Macaca fascicularis: one gene and its partners. The main gene of each other region encodes a partner of the protein of the gene in region 3 in a complex. Links are inferred from orthologs where the notes say so. Each region holds a gene or a part of one and is shown on either strand. Other genes may lie near its edges.

Region 1 (3,220 bases), on a different chromosome or scaffold from region 3:
GATTGCACCACTGCACTCCAGCCTGGGCGACAGAGCGAGACTCCATCTCAAAAAAAAAAGAAAGGAGGAGACATGTCACCAGCTACCCCTTGCTGGTCCCTCCTCCATCCCATTCATTTCTCTGCTTTTTCTTTCTCAGCCCATCTCTTTTTCTGAGAAAGGGTGAGCACTCATGGGAGAGATGGGCTTCTGGACCTTACTTTGCTACCTCTAATGCTTCCTCCCATCCCATCCTACAGCCGCCTGGTTTCCGTCGGGCCTATAGTTCCCCACTCTACAGCAACCAGCAGTACGCTTGTATCAAAGATCTCTGTAAGTGCCCTTTATGGAACATGAGGGAATGGGCAAGCCTAGAGATGGTTTCATGCCATCTCTAGCTTTGGAAGCCAAATTCTGAAACAGAAACTTTCTATTTCCCATAATTCTCCCTCAACCTAACATTTTTATATCCATTTGGATGCAGAGGCAATATCCCCATTTTACAGCAGAGGGAGATAAGATTTAGTTGCAACTACATACAGTTAGCAAGAGGTAGCGCCAAGACTGGAATCTTCAGTTGCTAGCTTCAGAATCTGTGCTCTTCATGTGCAAAATCATTTCTAAGCAAGAACAAGGATTCTAGATTGTCCTCATCCTTACTACAGAGTCATACCAGACTTGGGGCAAGACCCAAAGGCTGCAGGCACCCTGGGCATGTTCATAATTTGGCAACCCTTAAAAGTATATTCATTGACAAATTTGCTCAACATTTATTTGGAGCAGAGGCTGAACTCTGTGAAGAGCATGGGTGAAAAAGAAGAACCTATTGGTGGCAGCACCTCAGCTTACACATGCCATTCAGCAGAACAAAAACCAGAAGTTAAGGGCCCATTCTCCTTAGAAGGAGAATAGTGATTCTGAGCATGTCTCAACTCCCAAGCAACCAAAGTTGTCTTTCAAACGTCATATAATGCTCTGCCTGGAAGGAGTTCTGATAAATACTTTTCTCCCTCACATTACATCACCAGTGATGTTTTTAGAGTCCTTTCTAGATCGGTGTCCTAGGTATTGCTCAGCTGACCCTTCCCTAATCTTCCCCCACGGCGCCCCCACTGCCACCCAGCACACACATGGGTATCCATCTACTCGATCCTGCCTTTCGCTTCCTTTCCTCCAAGCCTTTCTCTGCCTCCCCAATAATGTCTTCTTTCTCCTCCAATTTGATTAGCTGCTGCCAATCGCAATGACCCTGTGTTTGAAACCCTGCGCACTGGGGTGATCATGGCAAACAAGGAACGGAAGAAGGGACAGGCAGATAAAAAAAATGTGAGCACTGTACCTCCCCACGAGGTCCCTCCCAGAGATCCCATGGAGCAGGTCATTTTCCCATTTGGGAAGCTGACAGAAGTAATGGATTATCTTCCCCTAAAATTGCACATAACCCGACCAGGCATGGTGGCTCATGCCTGTAATCCCAGCACTTTGGAAGGCCAGGGCGGGTGGATCATGAAGCCAGGAGATCAAGACCATCCTGGCCAACATGGTGAAACCTCGTCTTTACTAAAAATACAAAAATTAGCCAGGCATGGTTGTGTGTAATCCCAGCTACTCGGGAGGCTGAGGCAAGAGAATCACTTGAACCCAGGAGGCGGAGGTTGCAGTGAGCTGAAATCACACCACTGCACTCTAGCCTGGGTGACAGAGCAAGACTCCATCTCAAAAAAAAAAAAAAAAAAAGGCCGGGTGAGGTGGCTCATGCCTGTAATCCCAGCACTTTGGGAGGCCAAGGCGGGTGGATTACCTGAGGTCAGGAGTTTGAGACCAGCCTGGCCAACATGGTGAAACCCCGTCTCCACTAAAAATACAAAAATTAGCCAGGTGTGGTAGCACACGCCTGTAATCCCAGCTACTTGGGAGGCTGAGGCAGGAGAATTGCTTGAGCCCAGGAGGCGGAGGTTGCAGTGAGCCGAGATCGTGCCACTGCACGCCAGCCTAGCCGACAGAGTGAGATTCTGTCTTAAAAAAAAAAAAAAGAAAAGAAAAAGAAAAAAAAAATTGCACATAACCCAACAGAAATATTTTTGCATGCAATTTTAGGGGGTTTTGGGACCTACTGCAGCTCACTCACCATGGGCCTCTGGTTAAGAACTCTAGCCATAGATTACGTTTTCTCAGCTTCCTTCTGAAATAGTCAGATTAGCCACTACAACCACATGAAGGCTAGGCCCAAAGTCTTTGGCATTGCTGGGTGACAGAGGCAAGAGCTGTGCTTTTGGATGTAGGAAAGAGAACTTGTCATGCCAAGTAACTGGAGAATTCTAGAGCCATGCAAGGATCCATGAAGATCATCTGGTCTGACCCATTCATTTTACAGATGATGAAACTGAGGCACAAAGCTACTGGCCAAGATAAACCTCATTTCCTTTTGTAACAGGGTTTCTAGGTTAGTAATGCCATAGATTTGCATTCAGTTCAGCATGGAATTTGTTAGAATATTCTTATATCTTTCTGGACAACCAGGATTGGACCAGTATGGATGATGGTTACAGTTAGATGGACTCCTAAAATTGGTTGAGTGGCAGTACTCAGAGTCCAGGTCCTTTCAGTATTATACAGCTAGAGGGAGATTTCTGGTGCGTTATAACATGATTTAGATATAATGAAGATACAAATTGTATGTTCATGCCAGGTGCGGTGGCTCACGCCTGTAATCCCAACACTTTGGGACGCCAAGGTGGGCAGATTACTTGAGGTCAGGAGTTCGAAACCTGCCTGGCCAACATGGTGAAACCCTGTCTCTACTGAAAACACACACACACACACACACTATATATATATATATATATATCTCCAGGGCGTGGTGGCACTCACTTATAATCCCAGCTACTTGGGAGGCTGAGGCAGGAGAATCGCTTGAACCCGGGAGGCAGAGGTTGCAGTGAGCCACTGCACTTCACACTTCAGCCTGAGGGAGAAAGCAAGATCTTGTCTCAAAAAAAAAAAAAAAAAAAGAAAAGAAAAGATAAATGTACATATTTGTTCTTGATCAAAAAATCACCTGCAAAAAACAGAACTAGAAATCTGGCCTCAGACTTGTTGATATGGAGGTTGGGCACAGATAAGGGATTTCTATGGAGTGAATTCTGACTTACAAGGCACTAGCAGTGTGATTTGGCTGCTTCCAGAAGGGCTAACATACTCTTGGGTTATATTCTTTTAAGGGAATTATAAAAATTGTGCT
Region 2 (4,325 bases), on a different chromosome or scaffold from region 3:
TCAAACCCAGCATGAGGAAGGTGCTGGGCAGGGCTGCTCTGGGCCACCCACAGTAGACAGACTAAAGATGTCAGTCTGAAGATGAAGCCTCTTCTTTTTCTTGCTAAGATAACACCGATAAGTGACCCAGGTGGGAAGCCACTTGGTTTGGGTGGGCTTTCTCTCTCCCATGCACAGTGCCTTCTACCACAGATCTTATTAAGCTATGTCAGAGTTTTGGATGTCTGATTCTCCTCAAGCCTAGGAGGGATGAGCAGATTGCTGAACTCCCGGGTGTGAGAAATTGGGAAAGGAAAAGGACTGAGCTCAGGGCCAAGGGCATGGGCACCAGGAGGCCTCCAAGTGTACCCCTGTCTATGGACGTCCTCCTTGTGGGGCACAAAGGTAGGCAGTCAAAAATCAAAGAAGGAATTTTGCTCAGGAGATGAAAAAAGGAGAGAGCTCAAATGGGTGGATCTTTGGGGAAAGTTTCCTCAATATAAGGGCTGCGGCTCTCTTACCTCAAATCTCAGTGTTCCTGTGAAGGAGACTGAGTGGTGCAGAGTGGTACAAGCCCTTCTGCTGAGGGGAGAATCTGGCCTTACCCTAGTGACTCTGAGGAGACTGGCCCTTTCCTCTCCTAACCCCAGTGTAGCCAGGATCCCACCCACAACTATCCCCTACCACCACCCTCTGGTTTCTCTCCCCTCCCTTTAGGCTCACCTAAAATAGCCCCTTTCTGACCCAGTTCCCACGGATGCCTTGGCACTGTCTGGCACGATCCTTGGCAGGGAAGTGGGGAACGGAACCCCCATCCTGGCCGGACTAAGACGAAATCTATCTGTGCAACAGGTGTGGGGAGGCCTATCCAGCTCACGGAAAGTTCCTCCCTTCTCAAGGGCTAGGCAACACCGCCTTTGCCGCAGCGTTCCCGTACTGAGGGGGCCGGGCACCTGTTGGGGCAGGAGTTGCCGTCCTGGCATTAGCCTGGGGGCACTAAGCCCATTCCTCCCCGGGACTACTGCGGGGTCTGCTTCGGAGCCTCCGGGACGCACGGGCCCAGACCCGCACTGCTGTCGCCTGGGACCCCTCCCCCGTCTGCCGCTTGTTCCCGCGCCTCTTCTGTCTCCCAGGGTCTCCCCATTTTCCTGTCCTCTCCGTCCTCCCTCTGCCTCTCTCTCTCCGGCTTCCTCGACACCTGCGCCCTCTCCAGTCTCCGCCCGGGTCGCGTCTTCCTCGCGGTCTCAGCGCCCCCTCCCTCCCCCGCCGCAGCCCTTTGTTTCCCGGCGGAGTAGTTCCTGGGTTGCCGAGCGTCTCTGTCTCCGCATCTCTCCTCGCCCCGCCTCCTCCCTGCCTGGATCCGCCCCGCCCGCAGCCTCTCCTCCCCTTCCTCCCAGCCGCCAAGGCCCCGTAGGTGCTCCGGGACCCACCTTCCACCCAGCACGGGTCCGTTCCCCTCTCCGGGCCTGGCCCGGGCTCCCCGGTGGCCGCCGCCCCCTCGCCGCCCCCGCCTTCTCCCAGGGAGGGGGTCAGGTGGGCGGGCACTATTGTTGTAGGAGCGGGCGCCAGATTCCTCAGCCGCGCTCGGGGTGGGACCGGCTGGGTTTGGGGGGGTGGGGTGGGGGGAGCGGTGATTTGAGCTCCGAGCAGCTGGTCTTCGCGGCTCGCTCCCTCCTTCGCGCTCTCTCGCTCCCCGCCGCCGCCCGCAGGGCTGCGGGGCTCCGTGGCATCTCCCGGGCGCGGCCCGCAGTCCTCGCCCCTGCCTCCGGGCCGCTCCCGCCCCCGGCGCCGCTCGCTTCCCCCACCCGGACTCCCCCATGTATGACGACTCCTACGTGCCCGGGTTTGAGGACTCGGAGGCGGTGAGTGCCCACGGTGAGGGTGGGGGCGGGGAAGTTGGGGTGACACCTCCTCTCCCTTCAACCCTTCCCCCAGTTCAGGACTTTGAAAAACGCCTCAGTGGCAGGGCAGTGTGTGTAGGGGGGCGCTCTAAAAACGTGGGGAGATGGATTTTCATGCCAAGCGCTCCCCAGCGACCCAGACTCAGACCCTGGGGCATCGGGTGTGTGCAGAGAGGGGGCAGTATAGGGGAAGGGCTCAAGCAGGTGGCTCCACGGCCCAGGAAAGAGGGGTGGGAGGAGGCAGGGCTGGAGGCCGAGGGCACAGAGGCTCTGGAGAGGGAACACGCCATGTCTGGAGTTCCAAATTCTGGATTTCTGGGGTCTGAACACAACAGCTAGGAGAGCCGCCGAGGTAGTTGGGGAGGCAGACATTCCGGACCTCTTGTGCCTCAAGCAAACAACACATTAGGGAGCTGAGAGGACACCAGGGAGCCAGGGACCAGCCTCTTTAGACAGAGGGATCCTAAAACTTGAGGAGCTCCATTATTCCCTTCTACCCCCTCCATCTCTGCGCACTGCCTCATCTCCTCACCCTTTCTCTAGCCCAGTTTCCCTCTCAGGCTGAAACCTGGGCACCCAGCACATGGGTAGGCCAGGTGACTGAGCCCCATCCATTCCACAGCCCCCTGCTGAGGCTTCCTCTGAGCAGCGGGCATCCTGAGCTCTTGCCCAGCATGGAGGGCCTGGAGGTGAGGCCAGAGGAGCTGAGGGCCTGGGGATGGAGAGGATGCGCTTTGCTCAGAGAAACAGGCAACCAATAAATATTTAATTCTCCTCTTTGCTTTTATCTCCTGACCCACTGAGACAAATCAGCTCATTAAGCAGTGATTCCCGGAGCTCAGACAGCAGGGAGAGTGCCTGGAAAGATGGGGCAAGAATGCGGAGCAGCTTCTCAGACCCTTGGAGCTGCCAACTTTCCCTCAAATGTCCTGTAAGAAGGCCTCCTTAGGAGTGGACCAATAGATGGCTTGGAAGGGGTCCCGATAGGATGGAGCACCCCTGGGTCGGAAAGAGGAGTATGTTCCAGTCTTCTCCCATCACTTGCTGCCAGGCCCAGGATAGATGAGTGCTGATGCTCAGAATAGGCAACTGTCCTTTTCTGGGACTGGGCTCCTTCTGGGCCCAATTTTCCATGGGGCCTCTGGGGTAATTACATTGCTGCTAGAGCAGATCATTTTCAAGGCTCTGGTGGACACCTCTTTCTGACAGTTGAAGGGACAGCTGGTATAGCCCAGGGTGCCAAGGTGAGCTTGAGAACAAACCTCTCTGTGGGGCTGGAGGGCCCTAGGAGGTTCTTCCCATCCCTGGTGAGAAGGCAAGGGCTATTGCAAGGAACAGACTGACATGTGGATGGTGTTGGAGGACAGCCTGCTGACCCATTGCTCCCTCCCATCGCTCTCTGGCTCCTGATCACCCTCCCCCACCTCCCTTTCTCTTGCCTGGCTCCTTGCTCTCCCTGAGGCCCCCTCTGAAGCAGTAGGAGGGAGATCAGGCTCTAAATAAATCCAACGGCTCATCTCCCTCCTCTCCTTCCCCCGTGCCAGGCAAGAGAGGAGCTGCAGCCTGCCCACACACTCACTAGGCAAGGGGGGCACCACCAGGGCACTGTGCCAACTCCTGGCAGCTCCAAAGTACTGACACTCTGGCTCTTTTGGCATAGCAGGGTACAGGAAAGGTAAGACCCTAGATCATGCCTGGCAGGGCAGCCCTGGCCTCCCGAAGTAATACCGGAGCACGAGAGATAAGTTAGCCTGGAGGACTTGGAAGTAATGGAGAGGGGCTTCCATTCTGAGCACAACTCATTAATTATTTAGGGAGAGACGGCCGGGCGCGGTGGCTCAAGCCTGTAATCCCAGCACTTTGGGAGGCCGAGGCGGGCGGATCACAAGGTCAGGAGATCGAGACCACAGTGAAACCCCGTCTCTACTAAAAATACAAAAAATTAGCCGGGCGCGGTGGCGGGCGCCTGTAGTCCCAGCTACTCAGGAGGCTGAGGCAGGAGAATGGCGGGAACCCGGGAGGCGGAGCTTGCAGTGAGCCGAGATCGCGCCACTGCACTCCAGCCTGGGCAACAGCGTGAGACTCCGTCTCAAAAAAAAAAAAAAAAAATTATTTAGGGAGAGATCCTGTGATTCCCATCCCAGGGTGAGAGGTCAGGTAACCCCAGATGCCCCAGGCGTTATTACTACTAAATTAGGCCGCAAGGTGGCTCAGGCCTGTAATCCCAGCGCTTTGGGTGGCCAAGCCGGGCGGATCACTTGAGGTCAGGAGTTGGAAACCAGCCTGGCCAATATGGTGAAAGCCCGTGTCTCCTAAAAATACAGAAATTAGCCTAGCATGGTGGCGCATGCCTGTAGTCCCAACCACTCAGGAGGCTGGGGCAGGAGAAATGCTTGAATCCTGGAGGCAGAGGTTGCAGTGAGCCAACATCACGCCATTACACTC
Region 3 (4,591 bases):
GCCTTGGGGGAGGGGGGTGTGCATATGGGTACATAGGCACTGTGTTGGCACCAAAGAGCTAAATAAAAGGATTTTTGAATTTTTCTCATTCCTAGATCATTGTCTACCCTCACCCTTCCTGGTGCCCCTTTCTCATTCCCACTCCTAGTCCAGAGTACTTGCTGGAAGTGTATGTGGGATTCGCTGTTAGCGCATTTAAGGTTCAGTGTTAGCTCAGGCATTCAATGAATTTTTTTTTTTAATTTTAATTTTTATTTTTATTTTTATTTTTATTTTTGAGACAGGTTTTGCTCTGTTGCCCAGGCTGGAGTGCAGTGATTCTATGCCTGCTCACTGCAACCTCTGCCTCCTGGGTTTGAGCAATTCTCCTGCCTTGGCCTCCAGAGTAGCTGGGATTACAGGTGCACACCACCACGCCCACTAATTTTTGGTATTTTTAGTAGAGTTCAGGTTTCACCATGTTGGCCATGCTGGTCTGGAATTCCTGACCTCAAGTAATCTGCCCACCTTGGCTTCCCAAAGTGCTGGGATTACAGGCATGCGCCACCGCGGCTGACCTCAATGAACTTTTCTTTTTGAGACAAAGTCTCACTCTGTCTCATTCTGTCACCCAGGCTGGAGTACAGTGGCCCGATCTTGGCTCATTGCAGCCTCAACCTCCCAGACTCAACTGATCCTCTCACCTTGGCCTCCTTACTAGCTGGGACTACAAACACACACCACCACACCCTGCTAATTTTTGTATTTTTTGTAGAGACAGAGTTTCACCACTTGCACCGGCTGGTCTTGAACTCCTGAGCTCTAGCCATTTGCCCACCTCAGCCTCCCAAAGTGTTGGGATTACAGGCATGAGCCACCACGCCTGGCCTCAGTGATCATTTACAGGGAGCATAGTATATGTGGGGACTGTGCAGAGAAGGGGCCAGAGTCCCAGAGATAAAGCCCACAACCTTTACACCTGTAGGGGTGGGAGGAGGTGAGGAAGAAAGATACACAGCAGATGCTCCACAGTGAGGCAGGTGCTATGCCAGAGGTGTGTACACTCAGGGATGTTCTGGGAGTCTTCCAGCCCACTGGAGAGGGGTTTACTGTTTCCCTGACATGGGATTGCTTGGGGGGTGGGTTGAGGGTATGTTTGGGGAGTCTTGGCTGATGGTGCAAATACTGAGCTAGGTAGAGGGTGCTGTGGAGCTGTCCTGACTTAGGCTGCCCAGTGCCTTCTCCAGACAATGTCATGGGGCTGAGGAGGGGAAACCTAATTTTGGCATGAGGGGGCCACTCTGCCGTTTGAGGTTCCATATCCAAGGCTACCGCTTCCTGATCTCTGTTGCCGCAGGCTTGAAACCTTCCATCCTGTCTCCCTCTCCCACTGCCCCTGCCCCATCCCAGGCCTGTGTGTAAGTTCTTCTCCCCATCCCCCACCCTCCTCAGGGGACAGATTGGGAAGCCACTGGCTGGACTGGATGGAATGACAGCTGTCTGGCCTCAGGAGCTCAGGCCCGGCAGTGGGGAGCCGAGTGGAGGCTAATTTTACTTGCTGGGAGTGGGGAGAGTAATCCTCCTGCCCCCACTGCTGCCCCCGCCCCCCGGCTGGCTCAGCAGGGCAGGCTCAGCCGACAGCCTCAGCCAGCCCAGTCCTCAAGGCGGGGGGCATTGGGGACGCAGGGAAGAGAGGGCACTGGGGAGGGGGAGCCAGATTCCCAGGGAAGCCATGGAGCCGTCCTCACCCCAGGATGAAGGCCTGAGGAAGAAACAGCCCAAGAAGCCGGTTCCTGAGATTTTGCCAAGGCCACCCCGGGCCTTGTTCTGCCTGACCCTGGAGAACCCCCTGAGGAAGGCCTGCATCAGCATCGTAGAATGGAAGTATCCTTCAGGGCCCAGGCCGTGGTGGGGAGCATGCATCATGGGGGAGGGATTCAGGGGTGATCACAGAGCACACACTTCCTACAGGAGGGCCAGGGAGGCCTGGGACTTAGACCTGGGGTGAACTCACAGAATTGAGTGAGGCTGGGGGAAGGAGCCCTCAGCTGCGCAGGAGAGGAGGAGGAGGAAGAGGAGGGAGAGAAGGAGGAGGGGGGAGGAGGAACAGGAAGAGGAGGAGGAAGAGGAGGAGGACTTGGTGGGGCTTCCTGGGCCTGAGCAGGCCACCCAAGTCCTGGGTGACAACCAGAGATGCCTACTGACCACCTATGGGTGGGGCCTGCTTCATGGGGACTGTTCCCAGGTGTGCCCAAATCCACATTATCATGGGGTGCCACTAGGTTTTTGAAGCACCAGCCTCATTTCAGAATAGGATAGGAACCAATAAAAGGTTCAATGGCCTCTTTGAGAAAACTCCCCCTTGTTTGGGTTGGGTGGCGGGTGACCCCTCTGGGGGCAGATCCCAGCTGAGGACAGAGCCAAGGGAAAAAATGGGTCTGAAAGACACCTGGTCTGAGTGGCTCCAAGACACAGGCCAAGCAAGCCTGGGTGTTCTAGCTCAGACGTGCCACCCTGGGGACAGAGACTTCGAATCTCATGCTGTGTTTGCATTTGCTCTGGGGGGAAGAATGCTGAAAATATCCGGGTTATCTGGGGAAGGGAGGAAGGAGTGACAGAGAGAAGGGGAGGGCTGTGTCAAGTGGGTTCTGAGAGCGAGGGTCGGGCATATTTGAAATATTTCTGAAGGGTTCTGGAAGGCTGGGCTCCTACCAACTGTTCCCTAGAAGGAAGGAGAATGAGGGATAACTAGAAGGACAAGACAAACGTGGGGCAAGTAGAGATATCTTGGGGTCAGTGTCAGCCTTGTTCCCTTCACCTGCCCTTGGCCAGTCGGTGAATCACCCACATCGAACCCTCCTAGGCCCTCCCTCCTTGCCTCTCTTCTGCAAACAGGTTTACTCCATGGGTTCTCCCTCTCCTCCATCCTCTGCTCCTCTGCACCTTCCCCTCTCGTAGCCCCCTGCCCCTGTGGCCCTCCTCTTTTCTCAAACACTGGAGGTTACTGGGAAGAGAATGGGATTTTTCTGCCAAGCCCATCTACATAATATGCCTCCCCATCCGCCCCCAAACAACTGCCTCGCTTCCTCCCTTGCTTTCTCTAGCTCTTTCCACACTTGCTGCCTAATGGGTCAGAAAGTCAAGAAAGCCATGGACCTGGGGTACCCTCTAGAAATGGCTGTGGGTGGGTGTGTCTGGGAGGGGCGAGGTGTGATGGGTGTGAGCACGAGCACACCAGCATGCACACATGGCTCTGGAAATTCATCGTTCATCTCTCCATCCCTCATTCCCAGTCCTGCTCGGTGAGTTCTCAACCTTACCCCGCAGCAACCCTTACCCTCCCGTGCCATTTCTCTGGGTGAGCCTCTGTGGATTGGCCAGAATCTGGGAAAGTCATGGCTCCCTGGGAGGAGGCGAGGGCGTAGACAGGCACTGAGAGTGGAGCGGTGTGAAGACCCCCTAGGCCTTAAAGCTGAGTAGCCCTTAGCCAGGGACCAGACCTTTACCATTCCAAGGAGTCTATGTGAAAGCGACTTGTTCCTGAGGAAAGGGAGCCAGTTGTCAAGGCAGGAACCTGGTCCTCACTGTATCCTGCAGGTGCTCAGGGAAGGAGCATCGTGGGTGAGTGTCCAACAGCCTGTCCACCTGCCTGGCATCAGAGTCACAGTCCAAACTGACCCTCAGCGCCCTCTTCCCCTTAACCCTGTAAGTCCCATGCCCCTGTGGCCCAAGGGCTCTCCTTAACCCTGGCTCCAGGCCCTTCGAGACGATCATCTTGCTTACCATCTTTGCCAACTGTGTGGCCTTGGCCGTGTACCTGCCCATGCCAGAAGATGACAACAACTCTCTGAACCTCGGCCTGGTAAGATTGGCTCTTCCATCCCCCTTCCTGCCGGCCTGCAGCCCCAGGCTTGGGGAGGCCCCCTTGGTGGACTCTGTTCTGGGGGATGGTGCTGGTGGTTTAACTCCCTGCATCCCCACCCACCTGCAGGGCTGGCTGAGTGGCTCAACAGGTTTCCAGGGTCAACGTGCTTATTCTAGATTCTGTGACATTGTCAGCCAGCACTGAGCACACAGTCATTGGTCCCGGGCACTGTGCTAATACCGGATGAGAGTAAACTCATTTAATCTTCACAACCACCTCATAAAGTGGTTCCATTTGATAGATGTGGAAACTGAGGCTTCGTAAGGTCAGCTAGTGAACCACAGAGGTTGAATGCTAATTTCCCTTCCCTAGATGTAATTCATAAGAAACTTGTGTCCACTAAGTTTGCCTTCATGGGAGAGTTTTATCCAGGAATCTGAAGCAAGAACATGTTTTAGAGTTCTACAATACCACTTTCTCTTCACCCCTTCATCGGTAACACATACCTGGAACCATAAAATGCCGGGGCTGGAAGGGATATTCAAAAATTAGGCTGTCCTACCTCCTCCCCACCTGATTCTGTTTTATGGATGAGGAAATTGAGGCCTAGATAGCTTCAAGGACTTACTTACCCAATAGTTAATTTATAATAAAAATGGTTAGCATTTAGTAAGTACTTATTAAATGCCAGGATTTGAGCTAAATATTTTACATTATTTTATTATTTAATCCCCATAACTACTCCTG
Region 4 (3,795 bases), on a different chromosome or scaffold from region 3:
TCCTGAGAGGTTGAAATAATTTTTTTAAAGAATAGGTTAAGCCGGGTGTGGTGGCTCACGCCTGTAATCCCAGCACTTTGGGAGGCCGAGGCAGGTGGATCACGTGAGGTCAGGAGTTCAAGACTAGCCTGACCAACATGGTGAAACCCCATCTCTACTAAAAATACAAAAAATTAGCTGGGCGTGGTGGCGGGCACCTGTAATCCCAGCAACTTGGGAGGCTGAGGCAGGAGAATCACTTGAACGCAGGAGGTGGAGGTTGCAATGAGCCGAGATCGTACCATTGCACTCCAGCCTGGGCAACAAGAGCGAAACTCTGTCTCCACAAAAAAAAAAAGAAAAAAAAATAGGTTAAAAGGAATATCACATGAAAAACTATGTTACTTTGTATATATGGTGTATATAAGAAATATATAGAAGAGGCCGGGCATGGTGGCTCATGCCTGTAATCCCAGCACTTTGGGAGGCCGAGGCAGGCAGATCACCCAAGGTCAGGAGTTCTAGACCAGCCTGGCCAACACAGTGAAACCCTGTCTCTACTAAAAATACAAAAAATTAGCTGGGTGCGGTGGCTCACGTCTATAATCCCAGCTACTCGGGAGGCTGAAGCAGGAGAATCAATTGAACTCCAGAGGAGGAGGTTGCAGTGAGCTGAGATTGCACCACTGTACTGCAGCCTGAGCTACACAGTGAGACTCTGTCAAAAAAAAAAAAAAAAGAAAAGAAAAGAAAGAAAGAAATATATAGAAGCAATCCACTTGCCCATAATGGGGAAAGAAATACAATACCACTTAGAACAATACAATTTTCACCATTTCTGAGCTTACCTGTTTTTTCCACCTTGTGGATAAATAGATATTAGCTAAAGAGAGAATAAATGCTTATCTGTAAATTCTTTTGGTTTGATTTGTTTTTTTCTTTTTTTTGAGACAGGGACTGACTTTGTCCCCCAGGCTGGAGTGCAGTCGCGTGATCACAGCTCACTGCAGCCTAGACCCCCTGGGCTGAAGTGATCCTCTTGCCTTAGCCTCCCAAGTTGTTGGGCGTATAGGTGCCTGCCACCACACCTAGCTAATTTTTGTTTTTGATTTTTAGTGAGAAGAGGTCTTGCTGTGTTCCCAGGCTGATCTTGAACTCCCAGGCTCAAGCAATCCTCTTGCCTTGGCCTCACAAAATGCTGGGATTACAGGCGTGAGCCACCACTTCCGGCCCTTTATCTGTAAAATTTCGAAGCATCAAAGAAGGAAAGAGAGCTTAATTAATATCATCTTTAGTAGTTGAACGAACTCAAGGAGGAGAAATAATAGAAGAAAAGGTCATGGCTTTCATAATTCGTTGCAGCCATGAGTAAGAGCTGCTATAGTTATAGCATATATTCCCCGGTTCTTTTTTCATTCAAAAGACTGTACCTTTCGGAATTATGTCATTAATGATGAATTAATTAAAGTAGATGTTTGGGGTAGTGAGGCAGTTACTAAGTCCTTTCCACTGAAACCGAAGAACTGGGCATTTTATTCACGTTTGTGTTTCCTGATTTACAGTTGCTACAAGCGCCAATGTTGAAAACACATATTTCTGTGGCTCATCTTCGCCGTCTTTACTTGTAGTGCTTTCAAAGAGAACAATGGCTTTTTCTAGTTCAGAAATGGGTGCTACGTAGCTCAGAGCTAGGAGATTTCACGTGTTGTGAATATGAACAAACTGTTTTGTGATAAAGAACCAATGCAGCGGGGAAACCAACATCGATTACAGCAGTTATTCAGTGTATCTTTGTATTTGAGGGGAAGAAGGAGGGACACTGTTGTTTTGTTCTTATTTTTTTCCCTCTTTCTGTTCCCACTTTAGACAAAGCCCGTGGCATTTGCGGTTCGGACAAATGTCAGCTACAGTGCGGCCCATGAAGATGATGTTCCAGTGCCTGGCATGGCCATCTCATTCGAAGCAAAAGATTTTCTGCATGTTAAGGAAGTAAGGAGAATAATTTCATTTTCTATCAGCATGATGTTTCACCTTGACATACCATTTCTTATTTCCTATTCAGATGCCATTTCTGTGAAGCAGCATCACACATCACTGCAGTTGTATAACATACATACTAAATCAATGGCTCTCAACCTCTGCTAATATAAATATACCTTTTAAAGTGGAAAGAAGTCACGGGCCTCTTGCAATAACTTCAGCGCTCCCTGGGGCTCTGTGGCCCAGAAATTGGGAACTGCTAGAGTAGATGATCCTTTTTTATACTTACCCTGTACTTCTTCTTTTAATGTTTCACCTTGACTAGGTGTAGTTTTCTGATGCCTGAAGTCTAGCCATCTGGGGAAGGTTTAATAATAATATCTAGAATTCGTGACTCCTCTCTGCTGGCAGTGTCTAAACTCAAACTACTGATGCCCTTTTTCCTCCTTAAATGCTAAATTTCTGCAGTGGATGAGAGAATGGTAAGCATTGATGCCAGTAAGGCAACAAAGAGGTATCAGGAAAAGTCCTTTTCCCACATGCTAAATGTCTCCACCTTTTAGTGAGCAATGATACAACCTGCAAACTGGAAACATTCATCCTTAATTAAGCTTTGCTTGGAGTCAACATTTATCAAATGCCTGCCTTGTGGAGCACTGTGTTAACTGACCAGAAATTTCCCCTGTAGAATATTCTCAGTGTGTGATCCTGAGGTTTTTCTTGGACCTGGAGGAATTTATACTTGGAGCCCTTCCATGTAGGGTATAATATGTTATAGGAAGCATGTGTAAATTTAATCTCTTCACTGCACTAAAGGCTGTCAGCAAAGGAGTTGATGACTGCCAATTAAAAGAGCCTAGGGCCGGGCGCAGTGGCTCATGCCTGTAATCCCAGCACTTTGGGAGGCCAAGGCGGGCGGATCACAAGGTCAGGAAACCAAGACCATCCTGGCCAACATGGCGAAACCCTGTCTCCACTAAAAATACAAAAATTAGCTGGGTGTAGTGGTATATGCCTGTAATCTCAGCTACTCGGGAGGCTGAGGTAGGAGAATAGCTTGAATCAGGGAGTCGGAGGTTGCAGTGAGCCGAGATCGCGCCGCTGCACCCCAGCCTGGCGACAGAGTGAGATTCAGTCTAAAAAAAAAAAAAAAAAAAGAACCTAGAAGCCTGGATACTATGGCTCATGCCTGTAATCCAAGCGCTTTGAGAGGTCAAGGAAACCTGATCTCTTGAACCCAGGAGTTTGAGACCAGCCTGGGCAACAGGGTAAAACCCCATCTCTACAAAAAAAAAAAAAAATTAGCTGGGCATGGTGGCACACACTGGGAGTCCCAGCTACTCAGGAGGCTGAGGCCAGTGGATTGATTGAGCCTGGGAGTTCAAGACGGAAGCGAGCTGGGATCATGTCAATGTATTCCAGCCTGGGCGACAGAGCAAGACCCTATCTCGATTAAAAATAAAACAACCTAGAGAATTTAGAGCCTACCATTTTGGTAACCTCTGAAAAGAGATGTCAAATACTGGCTTGGTGGGAACAATAGAAAAAGTTATCAGAAGTGATGCTGTGCCTAGAATCTCACTTAACACCGGGAAGTTAGATTATTACGGGGCCTCTTCTTGATGGTTGGTGCTGAAAGGGGAAAGGAGAAAAACAGAATGTATATTCTTCTTTGAGGTGTTCAAGGACAGATTTATTCCATCAAGGAAAATGAAGGCAGATCATAAAGATTTAAGATACATATTCCACCTGCAAGAGATAAATTGTCAACATCACACAAGTAGAGAAATCATCTGTGAACATCGCACTGTGTAATTATAAAACTGTTTGCACAAA
Region 5 (4,497 bases), on a different chromosome or scaffold from region 3:
TGGTTCCCGCTGATCACCCTATCCGTTTCATCTCAACTTTCCTGGCTGAGAAAGTAGAAGAAAGAGAAAGGGAATCAACATTTATGCTACTTCCTCACAACAACACAATTAGCGTTGCCCTCATTTTACAGCTGAGGTAACAGATTGAGAACGCAGGTATTTCTGATTGCAAAGCCCATGCTTTTGCGGTTATGCCAGGCTTTCTCCTCTCCAAGGGTCAGGTGGAAGCCGTGCTCAGGATTGGAGCTCTCCTGGAATGTTTCTAATGGGCTTTATCTTCACTCACTGCTCCTCCTTCCCGAAGGTGTTGTGATCAGAGGAATGACAGAGCGGCCATTCATTTGTTATCACAGGTGAGGAGGAGGAGTCCCATAGTCTCCTCTCCTGCAGAACACAGCAAGCTGGTGGCCTTATTTTAAGGTCGCTTGACCTGGAGAGGGTCTTCTCCACCTCTCCTTTCTGTGGAGCAGGGGTGGAGTAGGGAGGGAATGGCTGACTCCTTCATTGAAACTTACAGCTTCTCCAAACACCCTAGCAATTCATTTAATTCCCTCATCCTCCCAATAATCCCAGGTGACACAGACTCCACAGTGCCAGCAACCACATTTTATAGGAGAGGAGAAAACTGGTGCTTAGGTGGTTTGTCCAGGGCTATACAACCAGAAACAGCCTGAGCTAAATTGGCACCAGGGTCTATTGCCCAGAATCTCCTATTCCTCCTCTATCCACCTGTCTTGGTGGGTGGAGTCCAGACCTTGGATGTTTGTCCCTAAATCAGGGGTAAAGGTGGAGCAATTCTAGGTCAAAGGTCATGAGATCTGATTTTACCAGCCTCTTCTTTCTCGGCTCCATATTGCTTCCTCTTTTCTCATCCAACAGCAGGGACTTCGCCCAGCCCCATTCATGGCCTTTTGGAAGAGCGGGTCAGGGGTGGGGGCGTGTATCCTAGTGACCGATTAGGGCAGAACTCCTGGACCCCTGGGATTTCTTTTGCTGTCGCTGTTGGACACCGTCCCCATCTCAGCCTCAGCCTCCCACCGGCAGCCCCAGAGCCATGTTGGAGGGGTAGAGGCTTTTCTGTTTGGTTTAAGGCAGCCTGGGTCCCGCACTGGGGAGAAAGGAGTTAAAGCCAGGTCCCAGGATCACCGGGACCGGGAAGTTCTGGTGGCCCAAACAGGAGTGGGTTGGGGGGACCCGCAGGAAGATAGGTTTGAGACAAAAGGGGGCGGTGCTAGCCATGCCAGTCCGCGCTTCATCCCCATCAGCGCTCGGCATCCACTGGTAGACCGACCCCCGACCCCTTCCCCAAGTATCCACGCCTAGTTTCTCCCTTCCCGCCCCAGCGGGCCGCCTGCACCCCACAGCCAGTCAGAGGCCCACCTGCGGCCCTCTAGAGCCGAGAGGCGCTTGCCTCCCAGCTTGCCGCACGCCCATTGTGTGCGCCGAGCCGGAGGAGGGGCTGCGAGGGGCGGGGCCGGGGCGGGCGGAGGGAGGGAGCGAGGGAGGGGCGCGGGGAGATGCTGAGCCTGCTGGGGAGGCGGCGGCGGCAGTGGAGAGAGCGGGAGGAGCGAGGGAAGGCAGGAAGGAGGCAGCCGAAGGCCGAGCTGGGTGGCTGGACCGGGTGCTGGCTGTGCCGCGCTGCTTTCGGCTCCCACGGCCTCTCCCATGCGCTGAGGGCGCCCGGCTGGGCCGGGCCGGCGGCGGGAGGGGAGGCTCCTCTCCATGGTCCAGAAGACCGGCATGTCCCGGGGCCCTTACCCACCCTCCCAGGAGATCCCCATGGAGGTCTTCGACCCCAGCCCGCAGGTGAGGCGTGGTGGCCCGGCCCGAGAGGAGGGGGCCGCTCCCACGGACAGTGTTGAGGTCGGCTCGAAAGGCGCGGGAGAGGAAGGGGTTATATGCCGGGCGCGAAGGGGAGAGGGATGCCTGCGCGTCCCCGATCCTTGCAGGTTGTGATTGATGGGCTCTGGGCCTGGGGCTGGGTGGCGATGCTGCGGAGCGGGGAGGGGGCGGGTGGGCTGCCTGTCACCCTCGCCTCCTTGTCTCCCCCGCGTCAAGGTTCCTGCCGCTTGGGCACCAGCTTCAGTGGGCTGAGCGTAGGGGTGCTGGTGGTGGTGGGATCTGGGCCTTGAGAAGGGGAGGTTGAAGGAGGCTAGAAAGCGAGCCAGGCAAGGGGGGCGACGCAGAGCACGCTCGGGGGCGCCAGGCGGGTGTGGGTGGGGCGGGGGTGGCACGAGGAGGTGGCCAAGGCGATGGTCAGAGGGCGGTGCCAAATGCAAACAGGCCTTCAGAGCCGCAGACACTGGATCTTGAGGGTGGGGAAAGGGCCAACTCCGGGCGAGGTCCCCTCCCAGCCACCTGGGCTCCATCTCCATGTCGGACCTGCTCCCCTCCCCCAACACCCACGTTGACTTACCCCACCCCCACCCCCGCCCTGAAAACGCCTCCAAAGTTTGGAAAGTTGGATGGATGCCAACTCACTGCCCGGGAAGGGGAAGAGCTGTTTTACCTGGGGGAGGGGTCTACTTCTCCATCCCCACCCGCACACTTTTCTTACGCCCCTGGTAACCCCTAGGAAGTGGCATTCTTGGGCGCGGTGGGTTCCCATGGGGTGACCAGCAGGCTCTGGGATGGTCGCGCCAGGGGATTTCTTTGGGACTGTCCTTCTCCAAGGATAGCATTAACTCTTCTGTTACTGTGGCCACCAGCTGTAACCACCATGATAATGTGATTGATGGGTATGTAGAGGGGTCAAGTCAGACCTAAAAATACCTTCCTCCACCCCAGGCCCCTTTGAGCCTGGGAGGCAGCTGACTGGGGCCTTCCTTTCAGCTGTCCCCTGTCCCTCTGAGTGCCACTCCCTTTGCCCAGCCTGGCAGTGCAGGGGGAGGGTGGTGTCTGGGATTCACTGGGGAATCCTCTTAGGTTTGTAGGGAGCGCCAGAACTAGAGTTGGGGTATATGTCTGGTTTGAGAGACGAGTGGGGAGAGGAGGATCTTGGAAAGGTCCCCAGGTGCCCTCCTCTCCCATTTTCCATCCTCTTTCTTGTACCCTGATCCCAGCAGCCAAAGCCCCCAGTCTGGTCATGGCCCCTCCAGGTTCTTTGGCCAAAGAAGGTCTAGGATGGAGACCAAGAGCAGGGACTTGGAAGTCTGAGCCCTCACTCACTCTCCCCATTCTGGACTGGGCTGAGGCCAAGTGTGTGTGCGCCTACGAGATGGGGAGGGCCAGAAGCAGCTCTTCTTACAGGAGGCCTGGAAATACCTGACGCCCTTAACCTGAACGTGTTGCTTCCTCAATGGTCAGGCTGAGCCAGGAGCTGGGTCTGTGAGACTGAGCCAGCCAGTCTACCCGCTAGGGATCTGTGGGGCTGTGTCCTAGGCTCATGTGGGGTGGGGCCGAGGGATATTTAGATTGATATAGCCTGATGGGTACCATGCACATGGGGCGTTGGCAGTGGCAGCTGGGGGCCACAGGGTACAAGCTTCATCCCTCTTGCCTCCTTGGGGAGGGTTGTAGCTACTGTGATTGTGAGAGAGGGAGCTGAGAAAAAGTCCTGTCGGGGCAAGGGATGAGAGTGGGAAGCAAAATCTGCCCCTATGGTGCCAGGGATCGGGCTGGATGTTTACTCTCCAAATACAGTTCCATGCCCCTACTCCCTCCCCAGAAATCTGGCTCTGAGTCTCCAAGAGAGCTGTCATCCCCTCCCTACTCTGTGAATAGCAAAGGAAGAGTTGGGCACAGGGGAGAAGCCAGGCTGGGCCCTGGGTTGGCAGTTCCTCCTCTCTGGGGGCCACCAACACAAACAGCCCTGCTCTGCTCCTGCGGAGGGGGAGTGGGGGGGGACTTTCCCGCTCTCTCCCCCCGCCCCGCACACCCAGCACTGCCGGCTGCCTCTCCCTTCCTCGGAGGCCTCTGCAGCCTGCCCAGCATCTTAATTAGCTCTGCTGCCTAATGAGCCTCCAGCTTCTCCGTGCCTCCCCCATTCCCAGCCTCTCTAGCTTGGTTTGGGGGTTTCCATGTGGGCCTCCCAGGGCTCTCTTGCATTGGTCCCCACTCCTGGCTGTGCTCTGGGTCCTCTCTATGAGGATGGGAGACCCTCCCTCCCCTTGGGCCGCACCACCTCAGGAGGAAGGTGCAGGGGCTTGGGGGTAGGGCTCTTCGGATCTGGGAATGCTGTTCCCGAGCTTGGCTGTAGCTCTGGGGCTGGCAAGATGAGGGTTGGGAAAGGGCCCTTCTGATTCTACTCTTGTTCCTTTCCTGGCCTCTCCAGGGCAAATACAGCAAGAGAAAAGGGCGATTCAAACGGTCGGATGGGAGCACGTCCTCAGATACCACATCCAACAGCTTTGTCCGCCAGGTAATGGGGAGGCTGGGCAGAGAGGAGGGAGGTGGCCGGTTGGTAGAGACCAGCATTGGTGAGCCAGGTCTGCGGTATTCTCCAGGCACCCTTCCCTGTGCCATTTGTCACCTTCCTGGAGCCACCCCATCACCCTG
Region 6 (4,472 bases), on a different chromosome or scaffold from region 3:
TGAAACCTGGCTTCCTCATTTTCCCGCTGTGTGACCTTAGACAAGTGACTTCACGTCTCTGAGTGTCCATGTCCTTGTCTGTGAAATGGCAGTAACAGTTGTGTTACTGTGAAATGGCAAAAACAGCCACAGTTCCCTTGTGGATTTGGTGTGAAGAGTAACTGCGATGATGGATGAAGGCTTAGCAGAGTGCCTGTTAGATAGTAAGCACTCACTGAAGATGAGCCACTGCTCCTATTATCATCATCATGAACTTTCTGTGATTCCAAGGCTGGAGGCCGAAATGTTTCTGTCCACATGGGCAGAGTCTCTGTAAATCGTGTCAATCTGAGGCAAGAATTTTGAAGTTCAAGGCCCCATCCAGCTCAGGAGGCTATTCCTGATCATGCATCAGCCTCTCGGCTACACCCAAAAAGGGCCACCCAGTGAGCTGAGAAGGGAGAGATGGCACAACCCAGGAGAGACGTAGAGGCCGCAGCCTCGGGGACAGGCCTGGGGGCCAGGCAGGCGCACAGGACCCTCGGAGGGTGGTCGATCCCAGGCTTTCTGTGTTCTCTGCCATATCCGCACACCCATGAGCTCCTGATGATCCCCTATAAATCAACCTATTCGTTCTTTTTCACTCACACACATATTTTGCAAATTAAAACGTAACTGGAAAATCGTTATCACCTGCTGTTAGTAGAAGGCAAAACCAAACACAGTGCCCTGAAAACAGAACAACCAAGTCCAGCAGGATTCCTCGTCCTCTTCAGGCCGTTCTCGCTTTGTTTCAGAGGACACTTTGCGGGCAGTAATGACACTGACCTCGAACGGAGCTCTGCTCTGGACCCAGTTTTGGGGATGGAAAGAGAATTGAAAAGGAAGTAATGTTCTCGTGGAGGGATCAGAGTTGGGTAAGGCCAGGCCTGGGAACCACCTAAAATCTTCCTGTGGTTTGCGGGATGCTGTGGGGTTTGTGGCTAAAACGCTTGCCTGAGAGGTGGACTCCACAGGCCCCGGACAGGGTCCCTGGGATGTCCCTAGACAGAATCCTAGGCCCCCCAGATCCCAGGATGAGAACCTACTCACTGCCCCGCCGGTAGTAGGCTTACAATGTGGGAGCCCGGGACGGCCGTGCAGCCTGCAGCTCCTGGTCTCCTCCCCTGGCCTGGGGTGCCCTTTCCCATCAGCCCAGAGCAGACAGATCTCCACCCCTGGGGCCCTGCTGCCCACCCCTCGCCCCCTCCCAACTCAGGCACCCTGAGCTGCTACTCCATAGAGGCCTCAATCCACCATCCAGAGCCTTCTCTCCTTGCCCCGCCCCCCACTGGGGTATTTCTGGCTCCCAGAGGGGCAGACAGCGCTGAAACCCGAGCAGAAGCCGTCCCCGGTGCCACGCCTGGAGAGGGGCATTAATAGCAGCCTTCCTCAGGCCCCTGACGCGTCTGGGCAGCTGCTCAGCACATCCCGCGTCCCTCAGCCCCAGGGCCAGCCCACTCTGGCTCAGCCAGGCACACTAAACTTAGTGGCCACTCCCAACTCGACAACCACCGCCACCCCCCAGCTCGGCTGTCACCTGCCGGAGGAGACGCAGCCGCCAGACCCTGCCCAGGGCACCCACGCCTCGGCGACCACCATGTCCCAGACCAAAACGCTGAAGGTCCGCGTGACCCTCTTCTGCATCCTGGCAGGCATCGTGCTGGCCATGACGGCCGTGGTAACCGACCACTGGGCTGTGCTGAGCCCCCACATGGAGCACCACAACACCACCTGCGAGGCGGCCCACTTCGGCCTCTGGCGGATTTGTACCAAGCGCATCCCCATGGACGACAGCAAGACCTGCGGGCCCATCACCCTGCCCGGGGGTAACGTACCCACCCTCCGTCCCGATCCCCACCTCCCGCCCTTCCCCGTCGTCCCCCGGACAAATTTGCCCATGCCAAGGAAGGCAGGTTTCTCAGGCTAGAGATAGGGCAGCCGCCCAGCCCTTTCTGCCCAGGGAAGAAGATCTGAATTGCATGTGCTGTGCTGGTGGCTGGGGCTGGGTTGTAAGACGAGGGCGTTTGTCCCAGCTATTTCTGTCTGGCTGGACCCTGGGGCTTTTCGCCCAGAACAGAGAGCTGGGCAGGCTCAAGACGGGAACCGCAGCTCTACCAGCCCAGGGACTTCTGGGCTCCATCTGGTCACTCTCTCCCTGCAAAGACATGCTGGGTGGCTCTGTGTCCTCAGGCTGGGGGAAACCATGGAGCTGGCAGGTTTGTCCCTGGCCTCAAGGCAGGGGAGGAGAGAGGACAGGCGACGGAATATGCAGGGTCCTGTGCAAAATGAAAATGCAGGGTTCCTTGCTCCAAATTACCAAGGATTTCAAGGCAGCGATAGCAGCACATGAATCCAAGCATGGACCCTTGTGGGCCCTGGGCCTGGAGAAGCTGCACAGGTTGAATGCCTGTGAAGCAGGACGTGGCTGTGGGTGAGCCACCTGCCCCTACCTTTTTTTTTTTTTTTTTTTTTTTTTTGAGACAGAGTTTTGCTCTGTCGCCCAGGCTGGAATGCAGTGGTACAATCTTGGCTCACTGCAACCTCCGCCTCCTGGACTCAAGTGATTCTCCTGCCTTGGCTTCCCCAGTAGCTGGGATTACAGGCATGCGCCGCCACACCCATCTAAGTTTTGTACTTTCAGTACAGACGGGGTTTTGGCATGTTGACCAGGCTGGTCTTGAACCCCTGACCTCAGGTGATCCACCTGCCTTGGCCTCCCAAAGTGCTGGGATTACAGGCGTGAGCCACCGTGCCTGGCCTCCGCCCGCCCTTTTGTCAGGACGTCAGTCCATTATGCATCCTCCGTTAGCTCAGACCCTGTCAGAGTTACAAAGCATTTCCTCACCCTGTAATTTAAGCGTGTTCCTCGATTTCCTACCATGTGACCGAACCACATGTCGAAGGTAAGCTCCTTTTCAGGAGTACCTGGTAGTTGCATGACTAGCCTCTATTCTGCAAATGCCGAGGCTTCTGGATTCTTAGCAAATACAGCACTTTAGAGGAAAGGGTGCTACGTGGAGACCAGGCGGCCAGGGATCTAGTCACCATTGCCCATTACCCTCAAATGACCATCCAGCGAGGACAAAGATCATCTCAGCCTCTGCTTCTTCCTCTATAAAATATGGGACTGACTCTCAGCAATGTAAGATCCCTTCCCAGGTTTACAGACGCCCATCCACAGTGGCAGTGGAGCAGGGTTATGTCAGTGTGATGTCCCACCTGGTTTTCAGGATTATTCCCTCTTTTACCAGACTTTGGTGTTCCTTGAAACCTGTCCTTCAAGGACACTAGGGCTGAGTCCCCAAAGATCTTGCAGTCTGCATGTGAACCAAAGAGCCAACACCCCATCCTCCCATATCTCTGCTCCCTCTTCTTTCCCTGCTGCTTGCTCCAGAGATCCCCTCCCTCATTCACGCCCACTGGACGCCCAGAAGACTCGTAAGTGCCCAACTGTTATAGAAACACCGAGTCCCAGGGCTGAGGGTGACAGGTGTGGCCATGTGCTGGCAGGGTATCGCATAGCCCGGATGCCCATGCCCCTTGGCGACTGCCAAGCACACCCATAAACAGGCAATCCCTCCAGCCAACTCCCCTGGGCAGGGCAGGGCAGGGCAGCTTCTTCAGGGACCACGCATAGGGACGTGCTGTTACAGTCCTGTTCACCCGTCCTTGGAACCATCTGCCTTTTAAAGTCAGAGCAGAGGACTGGGCAGTGAGCAGAGTCCACACAAGGAAGAGACAGGCTGGTGAGAGGTGACTAGACCAATTACAGGGGACCAACAGGCATTGCTTGTTGGACCAACAGGCCTTGAGCCTCACCAGGATCTACCTCTTTGCCTTCTTAGCCTAACCAGCTATGAACCATACTTCCCACACTTGTGACACTGAGCACTACCTTTCTCCCAGTCATCTTCCAAAGTATGTTCCTACCTTTTTCCCTCTCTTTTCTCTGCAAATGGACATCTTTCTCCTTCCCCATATGCCCTTCTTGTGCCCCCTGGGACCATTCTTGTCTGGAGGGAGGAAGCGGGTTGATATGTGGCCTCTCATTTATTATTAACAACAACAACAATAATAATGGCACATACATGTAACCCTATGTGCCGAATATTGTTGTAAATGCTTTACGTGTATCAACTTTGAATGACATCACGAAAAAGATGATAGAGAAAAAGAACTTCCAAAAATCTTCTTCTCCATAAAAGCAATGAGAAGGCTGGTGGAAATGGTCAGAATCAACATTTTCAGAACTCTGGAAATTAACCAAAGTCCAGCAAGAAAAATGGGTGAATCTCAGGAGGACCAGTGAGTTCTGTGGTGTTTTAACTTGACTTATTCCTGATTCCCTTTCCCAGCTCTGTGGTAACCTCGCAAACCAACATTCATAACCACAGCGAAAATCAGCATCCCAGTAGCCTCTGGAGGGGAGAGAATGGGGTTGGATCAAAGGC
Region 7 (3,795 bases), on a different chromosome or scaffold from region 3:
GGCTCACAATCTCCTGGGGGAGTGAGAAAAATAACAAGCATCACCTGAGCGGAGGCTGTGGTGGACGTTGGGCCGGATGCAGCGGACACCAGCGGAGGGAGTGGGTCATGAGGCAGAATTCCTGCAGAAGACAGTTTCCCGGAGGAGGAAGGGCCAGTGGAAGCACATTGGCAGGATAAAGAGGGTATGGACTGAGTGAGGCAGAGAAGAGGACAAACATGTCAAAAGCTCAGAGGCATAAAAGCATGCATGAGTTCGAGAATCCTCATTTCTGGGCTGTAAAGGCACAGGTTGGAAGGATAGGTTTGGCTAAGTTGCAAGGAGAGCCTCACGGCTGGGGCGAGAGCCTTGGACGCTGTCCTGAGGAGCCAGGAAGGTATCACCCCGCAACAGCTGTATGGAGGGCAGGTGGAAGCAGGGGGTGGGAGGGGAGGCTGTGGCCTTGAAGCAGGCTGGGGCATAAGGGCCTGAACTAAGGGCTGTGAGGTGATGAATCAATGGGAGGGGAGGGCTAGAGAGATGTTCTCGGGGGAGAATCAGTCCCAAGGATGAGGGTCTGGGACGACCACTCCTCACCCCCCACCAGCCTGTTCGAGAACACAGGTGGATACTATGTTGCCCAGGCTGGTCTCCAACTCCTTGGCTCAAGGGATTCCCTCCGGCCTCAGCCTCCCAGAGTGTTGAGATTATAGGCAGGAGCCACCACACCACGCCTATTTTTTTTTTTAAACTTGAGTAAATGGTACACCCATGCAACAAAATACTTTGTAGCTATAAAAAAGAATGATGAATCTATTTATGTATGGGTATGGAATGATTTCCAAGATTTACTGTTTATGAAAAAAAACAAGGCACAGGAAATATAGTATACTACCATTTCTTCAAGGAAAAATGGAACTAAACCTCTTAAACTTGTTTCTATCCAATTTCACATAAAAGTCTATATTTCTTTTGAAAAATTAGAAAACCTGGCAACACTGGGCTGGCCTTATAGACAAGCCTTAATTGGCTTGAGGAGGTCTGCAGTTACTCCCTGGCCATCCAGACTGCCACAGTCCCCGCCACTCTTGATTGCCCGGCCAGAACTCCTTTCTCCGCGGAGGTCACCCACCGGGCTCTTGTGGCACCTGAGATTGCGAAGCATTGTCAGGACCTGGGGAGCCTCTCTCTCCCTGTTTCATTTCGCTCGGCCCTTAGCCCCCATGCTGCTGCTGCTGCCACCCCTACCTCCAGAGACACCCTGAGGGGAAGCCCACCGTGGCCAGCCCCCTCTAGGCTCCCACTCACAGCTCCCTCTTCTTCTCAGCTCCAGCGATTCAAGCGTTCCCTCTCCCTCAAGACCATCCTCCGAAGTAAGAGCGTGGAGAACTTCTTCCTTCGCTCGGGCTCTGAGCTCAAGTGCCCCACCGAGGTGCTGCTGACGCCCCCAACCCCACTGCCCCCTCCCTCCCCACCACCCACAGCCTCGGACAGGGGCCTGCCCACCCCATCCCCCTCCCCATGCCCAGTCCCACGCCCCCTGGCAGCGCTCAAACCAGTGAGGCTGCACAGCTTCCAGGAACATGTCTTCAAGCGAGCCAGCCCTTGTGAGCTGTGCCATCAGCTCATTGTCGGTAGGTGCCTGGGCACTGAGGCGGCCTAAGGGAGGGGACGGCGTGGGTGCTGGGGAGTGGGCCCATGTTGCTGCCCAATATATTATTGGGTTCTTGCTGTTCAGGGGCCCCAATACTAACTGTGCCTCTTTTATTTTTATTTTATTTTATTTTTTTGAGACAGAGTCTTGCTCTGTCTCCCAGGCTGGAGTGCAGTGACACGATCTTGGTTCACTGCAACCTCCACCTCCCTGGTTTAAGGGATCTTCCTGCCTCAGTCTCTGGAGTAGCCGGGACTACAGGCACATACTACCATGCCCAGCTAATTTTATTTTTTATTTTTTATTTTTTTTTTTGAGACGGAGTCTTGCTCTGTCGCCCAGGCTGGGGTGCAGTGGCCGGATCTCAGCTCACTGCAAGCTCCGCCTCCCGGGTTTACGCCATTCTCCTGCCTCAGCCTCCTGAGTAGCTGGGACTACAGGCGCCCGCCACCTCGCCCGGCTAGTTTTTTGTATTTTTTAGTAGAGACGGGGTTTCACCGTGTTAGCCAGGATGGTCTCGATCTCCTGACCTCGTGATCCGCCCGTCTCGGCCTCCCAAAGTGCTGGGATTACAGGCTTGAGCCACCGCGCCCGGCCGCCCAGCTAATTTTAAATTTTATTTGTAGAGATAGGGTTGTGCCATGTTGCTCAGGCTGGTCAAACCCTGGGTCAAGCAATCCATCCGCCTCAGCCTCCCAAAGTGCTGGGATTACAGGCGTGAGCCATTGCACCCACCCCTAACTGTGCCTCTTACCCCAGGCGGAGAAAGGAGCACCGCCAGGCGTGGCGCTATACTCAGTGTCACTGCTGCATTTACTAATGACTCTGGCTTCCGTGCTCCCTCATACTCTAACTGTGTGAGGGGTAGGTGCTGAGCCTCAATGCTGGCACGAGAATGCCCAACCCTTGCTCTCCTCGTGCCATAACGTGCCCCTCCTTTGCCCTTTGCCCATGGGGGTGTCCTTAATTGTTGAACCCAAATTTTTCCTAGGAAACTCCAAGCAGGGCTTGCGATGTAAGACGTGCAAAGTCAGCGTCCACCTCTGGTGCTCTGAGGAGATCTCCCACCAGCAATGCCCAGGGAAGACGGTGAGCGGGGACCCAAGCAGAGATGGCCAACTGAGTGCTGCCAGTACTGTCACATGGGGGAATGAGTCTCCCTCGGGGCTGCTCCTTCCTGTGGGGTGGGCCCTGGGCTTGGGAAGGACCAAGTTCTCCATGGGCCATGACCTCCTCAAACCCTCTGTGACCTCTCTTGCCATAGTCCACCTCCTTCCGCCGCAACTTCAGCTCCCCTCTCCTGGTACATGAGCCGCCACCAGCCTGTGCCACAAGCAAAGAGTCCCCACCCACTGGTGAGTGCCACTGTCACTGCCCTGGCCGCTGTCCCTGCTCCCACTGTGGTGTGATGAGAAATCAACATCCCTGATCATCCTGGCCAACACGGTGAAACCCCATCTCTACTAAAAATACAAAAAATTAGCTGGGCGGGGTGATGGGCATCTGTGGTCCCAGCTACTCGGGAGGCTGAGGCAGGAGAATTGCTTGAACCCAGGAGGTGGAGGTTGCAGTGAGCCAAGATTACGCCACTGCACTCCAGCCTGGGCTACAGAGCGAGACTCCATCTTAAAAAAAAAAAAAAAGAAAGAAAGAAACATTTCTGAGATGGGTACGTGAGTCACGTTGGCACAGACAGTTCTTGGCTCTCCTACCATTTCCCTTCTCTGGATGCTCCTGTCCTGAATTTGGGGTTCATTCATTCATTTAGTCATCATTCCTTCAACAAGCACTTCATTAAGCACGTACTAAATGCCAGGCACAGTGCTGGACTCTGAGACACAGTAGTGAAGAAGGTGGAATTTATTGTCTAGTAAAGGAGATAGGACTGAAACGGACAGTCATGCAAATCATCAATCAATCACCATCAGTATGAGTGCCTTAAGTGGGGAAGATAGAGAATAGAGCATAGAATGTGTGCTGACAGCTGGGTGTGGTGGCTCGTTCCTGTAATCCCAGCTACTTGGGAGGCTGAGGCAGGAGGATTGCTTGAGCCCAGGAGTTGCAGTCCAGCCTAGGCAACATGGTGAGACCCTGTCTCTAAATTAAGAGAAAAGAAAAAGCTCAGGCCGGGCGCGGTGGCTCAAGCCTGTAATCCCAGCACT

The links.
Region 1: CACNA1S (region 3) and STAC3 share a complex: the UniProt entries of both Homo sapiens proteins name them as parts of the calcium channel complex. The link is inferred for Macaca fascicularis from reciprocal best matches to the Homo sapiens genes CACNA1S and STAC3.
Region 2: CACNA1S (region 3) and CACNB3 share a complex: the UniProt entries of both Homo sapiens proteins name them as parts of the calcium channel complex. The link is inferred for Macaca fascicularis from reciprocal best matches to the Homo sapiens genes CACNA1S and CACNB3.
Region 4: CACNA1S (region 3) and CACNB2 share a complex: the UniProt entries of both Homo sapiens proteins name them as parts of the calcium channel complex. The link is inferred for Macaca fascicularis from reciprocal best matches to the Homo sapiens genes CACNA1S and CACNB2.
Region 5: CACNA1S (region 3) and CACNB1 share a complex: the UniProt entries of both Homo sapiens proteins name them as parts of the calcium channel complex. The link is inferred for Macaca fascicularis from reciprocal best matches to the Homo sapiens genes CACNA1S and CACNB1.
Region 6: CACNA1S (region 3) and CACNG1 share a complex: the UniProt entries of both Homo sapiens proteins name them as parts of the calcium channel complex. The link is inferred for Macaca fascicularis from reciprocal best matches to the Homo sapiens genes CACNA1S and CACNG1.
Region 7: the proteins of CACNA1S (region 3) and STAC2 are in contact, whole or in part, in a crystal structure (PDB 6B27), measured with the Homo sapiens proteins. The link is inferred for Macaca fascicularis from reciprocal best matches to the Homo sapiens genes CACNA1S and STAC2. Residues at the interface, in NP_000060.2 of Homo sapiens: Glu749, Pro750, Glu751, Ile752, Pro753, Ser755, Pro756, Arg757, Pro758; in NP_945344.1 of Homo sapiens: Tyr301, Lys302, Phe303, Gln306, Glu307, Asp310, Asn326, Asp328, Trp329, Phe340, Pro342, Asn344, Phe345.

The regions. Positions count from the first base shown.
Region 1 is NC_088385.1:64,047,690-64,050,909, reverse strand, and holds part of STAC3 (SH3 and cysteine-rich domain-containing protein 3), read left to right. Parts: intron 1-239; coding exon 240-312; intron 313-1,207; coding exon 1,208-1,305; intron 1,306-3,220. UniProt on the Homo sapiens protein: Required for normal excitation-contraction coupling in skeletal muscle and for normal muscle contraction in response to membrane depolarization. Required for normal Ca(2+) release from the sarcplasmic reticulum, which ultimately leads to muscle contraction.
Region 2 is NC_088385.1:55,627,876-55,632,200, forward strand, and holds the start of CACNB3 (voltage-dependent L-type calcium channel subunit beta-3), read left to right. Parts: upstream 1-1,389; 5' UTR 1,390-1,796; coding exon of another isoform or gene 1,797-1,841; intron 1,842-2,502; 5' UTR 2,503-2,569; exon of another isoform or gene 2,570-2,693; 5' UTR 2,694-2,757; coding exon 2,758-2,811; intron 2,812-4,325. UniProt on the Homo sapiens protein: Regulatory subunit of the voltage-gated calcium channel that gives rise to L-type calcium currents. Increases CACNA1B peak calcium current and shifts the voltage dependencies of channel activation and inactivation.
Region 3 is NC_088375.1:58,850,031-58,854,621, reverse strand, and holds the start of CACNA1S (voltage-dependent L-type calcium channel subunit alpha-1S), read left to right. Parts: upstream 1-1,633; 5' UTR 1,634-1,711; coding exon 1,712-1,863; intron 1,864-3,735; coding exon 3,736-3,841; intron 3,842-4,591. UniProt on the Homo sapiens protein: Pore-forming, alpha-1S subunit of the voltage-gated calcium channel that gives rise to L-type calcium currents in skeletal muscle.
Region 4 is NC_088383.1:19,404,013-19,407,807, forward strand, and holds part of CACNB2 (voltage-dependent L-type calcium channel subunit beta-2), read left to right. Parts: intron 1-1,845; coding exon 1,846-1,968; intron 1,969-3,795. UniProt on the Homo sapiens protein: Beta subunit of voltage-dependent calcium channels which contributes to the function of the calcium channel by increasing peak calcium current. Plays a role in shifting voltage dependencies of activation and inactivation of the channel.
Region 5 is NC_088390.1:60,227,088-60,231,584, reverse strand, and holds the start of CACNB1 (voltage-dependent L-type calcium channel subunit beta-1), read left to right. Parts: upstream 1-1,548; 5' UTR 1,549-1,722; coding exon 1,723-1,806; intron 1,807-4,273; coding exon 4,274-4,360; intron 4,361-4,497. UniProt on the Homo sapiens protein: Regulatory subunit of L-type calcium channels. Regulates the activity of L-type calcium channels that contain CACNA1A as pore-forming subunit.
Region 6 is NC_088390.1:73,473,835-73,478,306, forward strand, and holds the start of CACNG1 (voltage-dependent calcium channel gamma-1 subunit), read left to right. Parts: upstream 1-1,513; 5' UTR 1,514-1,618; coding exon 1,619-1,847; intron 1,848-4,472. UniProt on the Homo sapiens protein: Regulatory subunit of the voltage-gated calcium channel that gives rise to L-type calcium currents in skeletal muscle. Regulates channel inactivation kinetics.
Region 7 is NC_088390.1:60,249,053-60,252,847, reverse strand, and holds part of STAC2 (SH3 and cysteine-rich domain-containing protein 2), read left to right. Parts: intron 1-1,306; coding exon 1,307-1,613; intron 1,614-2,624; coding exon 2,625-2,722; intron 2,723-2,897; coding exon 2,898-2,988; intron 2,989-3,795. UniProt on the Homo sapiens protein: Plays a redundant role in promoting the expression of calcium channel CACNA1S at the cell membrane, and thereby contributes to increased channel activity. Slows down the inactivation rate of the calcium channel CACNA1C.